Schizosaccharomyces pombe: one gene and its partner. The protein of the gene in region 1 interacts with the protein of each later gene in a pairwise test. Each region holds a gene or a part of one and is shown on either strand. Other genes may lie near its edges. The genes, in order: gir2 and gtp1.

The links.
Region 2: the proteins of gir2 (region 1) and gtp1 interact in a two-hybrid assay, tested with the Schizosaccharomyces pombe proteins (one large-scale study listed by BioGRID).

Annotation. Positions count from the first base shown.
Region 1 is NC_003421.2:814,615-818,546, reverse strand, and holds gir2 (RWD domain-containing protein), read left to right. Parts: upstream 1-2,061; 5' UTR 2,062-2,089; coding exon 2,090-2,153; exon of another isoform or gene 2,154-2,299; coding exon 2,300-2,368; exon of another isoform or gene 2,369-2,440; coding exon 2,441-2,577; exon of another isoform or gene 2,578-2,727; coding exon 2,728-3,105; 3' UTR 3,106-3,460; downstream 3,461-3,932. Other genes in the region: Cu(2+) transporter complex subunit Ctr4, read right to left, coding at 1-88.
Region 2 is NC_003423.3:541,142-545,073, forward strand, and holds gtp1 (GTP-binding protein Gtp1), read left to right. Parts: upstream 1-2,203; 5' UTR 2,204-2,279; coding exon 2,280-2,297; intron 2,298-2,342; coding exon 2,343-2,411; intron 2,412-2,526; coding exon 2,527-2,697; intron 2,698-2,750; coding exon 2,751-3,584; 3' UTR 3,585-3,695; downstream 3,696-3,932. Other genes in the region: protein Cut12, read left to right, coding at 142-148, 191-1,830; translocon alpha subunit Sec61, read right to left, coding at 3,930-3,932.

The DNA of each region.
Region 1 (3,932 bases):
CAGGGCCTTGGGAATTTTGAGCCATAGATGTTCCTAACTTAATGAGGGAATTACCCAGACTTTGCTTTGCAGCGGAGAAGAAAGACATGACTTCTAGGGAAAAATAAAAAACCAGAAGAGTAGTAAATGAGTTTTAGAAAAAAAGGACGAAAGAGTTAAAAGAAAACTTGAAGATTAGGGAAGACCAGTATCTTACTAACTTTGACAATTATATATTTAGATGAAAAATTTTTGTTCTTAAAAAACAAGAAAACAGAATATATGCAGATGAAAATTAACCCTACGAAACACAATGGAGAAATGAATATCAAAAGGAAGAAAAAGAAAATGAGAGACAAGAAAAGAAAGAAAACACAATTATAAAATGAACGAAATTTCGGCAATCAATGGGCAGAATCTCAACGAATTGAAGAGCAAATTGAATTTATACAGATTTCAAAGAAAATATTCTGTTTCTATATTTTGCTAAAAAAAACCAATTTTTCGACCAATATGAAAAATTACAAGTAAATAAACTGAATTTAAACGATTAAACTAACCAACCCAATGTTCTACCAAAGCCTTTCAGTCAAACAATCGTCTCAAGGTTAAGCGTCCAGGAATGTCTCTATCACACCTTCCTTATATATACCATAACCTACGAAATGAGCGATTATTTCTGTCCCTAAAATCAGCTCTTTTACAGCGCAATAATACCTCGATTGATTTTTTCTTCCAACAAAGTAACATCCAAGTAGCAGATGGAGGTAGAAGAAAAATGCCTCATTTTTTTTCATCAAATGAGTGAATCAGTCGGAATCCAGCATCACAAACAGTGACATTTCCATAATTTTAGCACAAGAAAAACACACACCTAAGATTTAGGTAAGACATCCAACCTTTTTGCATAGAGGAAATGTGACATTTTTTAGCATCAGAACCGTTGAGTGCGCTATCCACTATTAGAAGGTATTGTTTTAACGATACACTATTTACAAAAATAACGGTATGTAAGATACAGCATTTCAGTGCAAGCTCACAATATTGTTAATTTTGAGAAGCAAAAATATGGTCACAGCCAGGTTCGAACTGGCGACATTCGACTTATTAGATCGACATGATAACCGACTACATCATGCGACCACTTTTTGAACAATTGCTTCTTTAATATTTTATATACTCTTTTAGTGAGTAATAGAGATGGAATTTTAAGAAAACAGTATTGATGTTTTTTACAAGAAAGCTTGAGTTTAGAGTGAATGGGTTGGAGTATAAATTTATTAGATTTAACATAGTCTATATCGGATTCTCCCCATTTTGGATTCTCTATTTTTTCAGTTCCCCACAATTGTGAATGCACAGAAATTTTTACCAGTTCTAGTCTCAGGTTTTTTTCTATGCAAACTAATTCACATCATTTTTTCTATTGTATTGAAATGAATTTGATATTTGCAGTGAAAAACAGGTGGCTTGATGACTTTTGATCAGTTAAAACCAACAGGCCGGTGAAAATATGAAAAGACTAGTAAACACATTTGGGAAATACTAGGGCTGTTTTATATATTTATTTTAACCGAAGCTATGCAACAAGAAAATAATTAAACAATTCGTGCTATATTTATTGATTTTCAGAAAGAGAACCTCGAGCTGAAATAAAGGGGAAAAGACCCACAAATCAAAAGATTGGTATTACAATTTCATTCATCTGCTTTATTTTCTTTTTCCTTTTTTAAAAATAAGCATGGTCCTTTCAACTGTCCAATATTCTTTTACACATGCTGCATTATATTTACATGCCATACATAACAATATAAATGTGCTTGAAAAGACAATTGGGGGGTTTTTTTTTCTTAAAGGCACTGAATCCTTCATTACTAATCATTCTCTTCAGAGATGGATCAAGGATTGTTTACTTAACTTTTCCAATAGTGTCAACGCTTGTACCAGTCTGACTATTTAGCTACCAAATAAATAGCTTTATAAATATATTTCTTCTTAAGAGCGAAAATTTAACGTACATTATAGCTGCTTTTTGTTTCAGGTGATTACTACACCTTGATCTCGAGTTTCTACACCTGCCATAGCCCATTTGCATTCCACCTTCACGCAAATGACTTCTGCAATCGAAGAAGAACGGGAAATCCTGGAATCAATATATCCAGAAGAGTTTAAATGTAAGTCAAATATTGTTATTTGTTTATAAATTTTTTCGGAAAGAGTGAGATTTCATAAATGTGCATAATATTTTATTGATTCAAATATTTGCTCTGCAAATTTAATAGACCATCAATTGGAAAATTTATTGATTAACATTAGTTAGGTATAAACGACAGTACATTTGAGATTACTCAACCTATTGATCGTGAAGAATCGAATTGCGATAATCCACGTAAGCCCTTTTTTTTTTAATTTACAACAGTATTTGGTTATGGTCGACTCTCTAACTTATACGATCAATTAGCCTCCTTAATTTTCACGTGTCAGCTCAGTGAAGCTTATCCAGATGAAGTGCCCGACGTTAAAATTACATTCTCTGAACCTCATCCTTGGCTTGGTGAAGAGGAAATAGAGAGACTAAAACAAGTTGTCGCTCAAAATGTATGAACCAGTTAAGATACAATCGAAAAGGGAACAAGAATAGAAGTAGCTGAGGATTGCTTTTGTCCACTAGGAAAGCTCTTTCACTGTTTTATTAAGCATTGATGCATATTTATAATTTCCATCATATAACTAATCATTCATATATAGGCAGAGGAATGCTTAGGAATGGCAATGATATTTTCATTATGTTCTGTTGCTAAGGAGGAGACTAACGCCATTCTTATCGAGCAATCTCAGCGCGAAACACAAGCTATAGAGGAAAGACATCGAAAGGAAGCAGAACAGGAAAATAAAAAATTCCATGGAACGCCAGTAACGGTTGAATCATTTACGGAATGGAAAAAAGGATTTGATGCTTGGCGGAATGAGCAACTAAAATTAGAGCAAGAGTCAAAACTAAAGGAGGCTTTGAGTGCTGCATCTTCGAGTAATGCACGGAAGGCTATATTGGAGAAAAGAATGACAGGAAGAGAATTGTTTGAAAATAATTTGGTCAAGTTGGACGATGTTGAGGGAGAGGCTTAAAGTTGGGTTTAGTTCATCCCGTTACTTTATTGTTGTTTCATCCAAGGTAGGCAGGAACCTTTAAATAAATATAAATAAAATTGGGAAATATAGAAGTTTACTTGAAATCAGGGTTGGGTATTAAATATCTTTTTTGTATACTGCCTGATTTTGTTTTCCATGGCTTTCTTACAATGATTTTCAATCGATGCCGTCTTGCATTCTGCATAACGGTATTAACAATTCATATGTTTTAATATTTATATTATTTTCGTTGTGTAAAGCTAAAAAGCAAGGCTAATGGCAAATATGCCTATATTGTCCTTACACTGTACTGAATCGGTAACAATTGACAAACACGCTTTTATAACATTTTATCAGTGCTTAATTAAATTCAATACATCAATAATTTATTGTTATTTAATTCACCGCTATTTTTGAATAAAGCCAAACTAATTCAAAGAGTATTAATACGTTACTTGTTTCAACAAAGTTTCTTTGCCTCTTACATACAAAAAAATGCTCCACGCCTGCCTACTCGTCTGAGCTTCTCAAAGCTAACCCAGACGGTGAGGTATGGGTAGTACGCTTAAGCGCCATCCATTTTCAGGGCTAGTTCATTCGGCAGTTGAGTTGTTACACACTCCTTAGCGGGTATCTACTTTTAAAACAAACTGCGTATTCGCTAACTAACATTTGCACAACTTAACTTCAAGACTAAAAAAAACTACAAGCTACAGCAACAACATTAAAATGTAAAGAGCACTTAAAAATTGATCAGTCAATTTAATTTCAATCAGTAAGACTAGAAATAAAATATCAAGTGAAATTTTTGTTTATAGTTGCAA
Region 2 (3,932 bases), on another chromosome or scaffold:
TTGTGCCATACGTTGAAAACCACCGAATTGGGAAATATTGTTAAAGTTGGGTTGTTTGGACATAATTTTGTTAAATTCGTTTAAATTATTTATATTTTTAATTATATTTTTACATGCAGAACAATTCAGAGATCCGATAGAATGTCAGGTAAGGAATTCCTATGTAAACAAAGCTAATCTCAAAATTTAGAAACTTTGAACACTCCGCCAACATATGCATGGGTTTTGAAAGCATTTTCTAGTAAATTAGCAGGAACTGTGACGAAGCCTGTTACAAAAATGTCCTCTTACATTGAGGATGCAGAATCTGATGCAGAACTTCCGCAAGACGCAAAAGAAGACCTGCGCCCAACTGAGACATTAACTCCGTTAAAAAGTAAAGCAGCACAAAATGGGATTTTGAAAACTCCAGGTACTTTACAAATAAAGAAGACCGTCAATTTCAAAGATATTTCAAAAGATGCTGCGACGTGGAATCGTCCAACGAAAAATAATTTCTTATTTACGAGATTAGATGATGAGAATCCTTTAATGGGTCATGAAGAATTCAAATCCCCTTTGTTACAGAGTACTCCAAAACCGAATATTAATAATCCGGATAATGAAAACAAAAGTAAGCATGACGAGTTTGATAATCGCTATAATATTAATATCAATGAATCCTATAAAAATGAGACAAAAAGCAATCAGAGATTAGGCGAAGATGTCCCTTCAAAGAAAAAATATCCTCACTCGATGGATGCCGAGATCTCTAAATTCAAATGGGATAGTAACAATAATAATGACTGGTCAAGTTTAATGAAGGATTGCTTTCGAGATGTTGTGAACAATAATCGAAAAATGAAGGAAATTATTAAAGACGTTATGATTGACACATCCCAAGCTTTTCCCTCTGAGAGCTTGGATGAACCTGACTATACGATAAACCTTGATGCGCCTCGTTCCTCTTCAGGAAAATACTGGAAGCAAAAGTTTAGTATGCTAGATTCTGCTCATTCGGATCTTGAGTTAGAATTAACCTCTATCCGTGAGCGTTTGGAATCCTTAATTTTAGAGAAACAAGAGGAAATCAATTTTTGGAAACAACGTTGTCGAGCTTTAGAAACGGAGAAAATCCATAATCATCAAGGACAACAGTCAAAATACAAAGGCAAGGAATTCGTTGGAAATAGATTTAGCCAAATGAGGGAGCTTTATACTGCTAAGCCAAGTCCGATTACTACTAAAGTTGTTTCTAGGCCATCCCAATCTGATGTGCGTGAGCCTCAAGAACAGGTTCCTTCCAAGAATTTACATCGGGGAGCAGATATGTCGCATTTGGCAGCTCAAATGCTGACTCATTCATCAAAAAAGTCCCATACGACAAACCTAATACCTTCTGAAGGAATAATTTCATCAACTCCTATTTCCGCAGCTTCCAAAGTACGTATGAATTTAATGCAGTCTAATCAAACTCCTACACCTGCTCCATTTTCAATAGCAGCAAAGAAGTCCCACTTACCGTCGAAACTTAGTTTCCCACAAGATGGTGGTAGCTTATCTTCTGCTACTACCTTGCAGCAATTGCCAAAAGCAAGAGTGACGCCAAACGTGTTATCTTCTTTAAGCTCAAACCTTGGAAAAACAAATCCAACGTCAGTATACCAATCAAAAGCGAACGTAACTACAAGTGCTGATGTTGAAAAACCACAAGTTAAAGTTGCAACTAGTTCTCGCGTGGATTATGATTTGAAGAGTCCAAATCAACGTACTGCGAATGCAAAGAAAAGATTAGAGGAAAGGAGAAGACGAAGGAAGTTGAAACTTCAAGAACTTCAGTTGAATTCCTGAAGGTATAATTTTACTAGATCGATATTGTATAATTAGAATGCATATCCTTTTTAAGTAAAGGACTGGAGCCTTAGTTTCATTTATTTTTGTTGAGGAAAGGTGTGTGCATCAAGTATTGAAAATTAACTATATTCCTTTCGAGAATTAAATAAAATATAAGTCCATTATTAATATTAACTCAAATTACTAATTTTTAGTATAAATGATGGATTCATTATAAGAGGCTTGTAAAAGGCCGTATTAGTCGTGGATATTGTAATTTAATTTCATCTTTTCATGCAGTATTTTACTAGAAAAACATTCAGCTGTACATTTAGATCGTAAGCTGACTGGAAGAATTCCATCTCCTCAACCTCCATTTGAATCTTGTCTTAGGCCATACGCAGTAAAAACTTGAAAGTAGCAACAATTTCATATTACCACACTACGATAGGTTATTAAATGGGAAAATGGGTGTCTTAGAAAAAGTAAATAAAAATATCTGCCGTTATATACTAATCTAAATTGGCTAGATTCAAGAGATTGAAGCTGAAATGCGCCGGACGCAAAAAAATAAGGCGACGGAGTACCATCTTGGTTTGGTAAGTTTTTTTAATTCATTTCTAACTGGAATGCCTTTTATTTTATAGCAAATATTACAATGTTGTTCCAACTTATAAAGAATCAACTCTAAATTAAACTAACCTAGTCCTTTAGTTGAAAGGAAAACTCGCCAAGCTGAGGGCTCAATTACTTGAACCTACTTCAAAATCGGGGCCAAAGGGGGAGGGCTTCGATGTTTTGAAAAGTGGTGATGCTAGAGTTGCATTTATTGGATTTCCATCTGTTGGTAAATCTACTTTGCTGTCTGCTATTACGAAAACGAAGGTTTGCTATTTCTTTTTAAATACTTTATTTTTTTACTAACAATGGTAATATAGTCGGCGACTGCATCTTATGAATTCACTACTTTAACGGCTATTCCAGGTGTACTCGAATACGATGGAGCAGAAATTCAAATGTTAGATCTTCCAGGTATCATTGAAGGTGCCTCTCAGGGAAGAGGTGGCCGCCAAGCAGTATCTGCTGCACGCACAGCTGATTTAATTTTAATGGTTTTGGATGCTACAAAAGCTGCCGATCAGCGAGAAAAAATTGAGTATGAACTTGAACAAGTTGGCATTCGTTTAAATCGACAACCACCAAATGTGACCCTTACCATAAAAAAAAATGGGGGCATTAAATTTAATCACACTGTTCCTCTAACTCATATGGATTACAAAATGGCATACAATATTTTACATGAATACAGAATCCACAATGCAGATATCCTAATTCGTGAAGACATCACCGTGGATGACTTTATTGATCTTGTTATGGGAAATCGGCGATATATCAATTGTCTGTATTGTTATAGTAAGATTGATGCCGTTTCGTTGGAAGAAGTGGACCGACTTGCTCGTTTACCAAAGTCTGTCGTTATTAGCTGTAATATGAAGCTGAATCTTGACTTTCTTAAAGAGCGCATTTGGGAAGAACTCAATCTCTACAGAATATATACTAAACGGAAAGGAGAAATGCCCGACTTCTCTGAAGCCCTGATTGTGCGCAAGGGATCAACAATCGAGCAAGTCTGTAATAGGATTCACAGAACATTGGCTGAACAATTAAAATATGCACTTGTATGGGGTACTTCTGCAAAACATAGTCCCCAGGTTGTTGGTTTAAATCATAGAGTTGAAGAAGGAGATGTGGTTACTATTGTGACAAAATAAATAGGAAAAATTTTTCGTTTATTAAATTTACAGGAATGCTAATATTTTTGTTCAGTACATACCTAGTTTTATAAAGCAAAACAAAGTTGAACTGCTTCATTAAAAAACTATATACATAAAAAGATTGTAAATATTCCTTTCCTATAATAGTGAACATAAATTAATTGATGTTATCGGTGTTTTGCATTGAATCGGCTTCAATCCAATAACAACCCTCAAAATAAAGTATGTTCGATACTTTGAATAGGAAGTCTCCATGCTTTTTAAATCCAACTGCTTCTGGAACTATATTTTAAAGTAAATATTTCTTCATCCTTGTTAGCATGACCCATCATATTAGGCATTTTA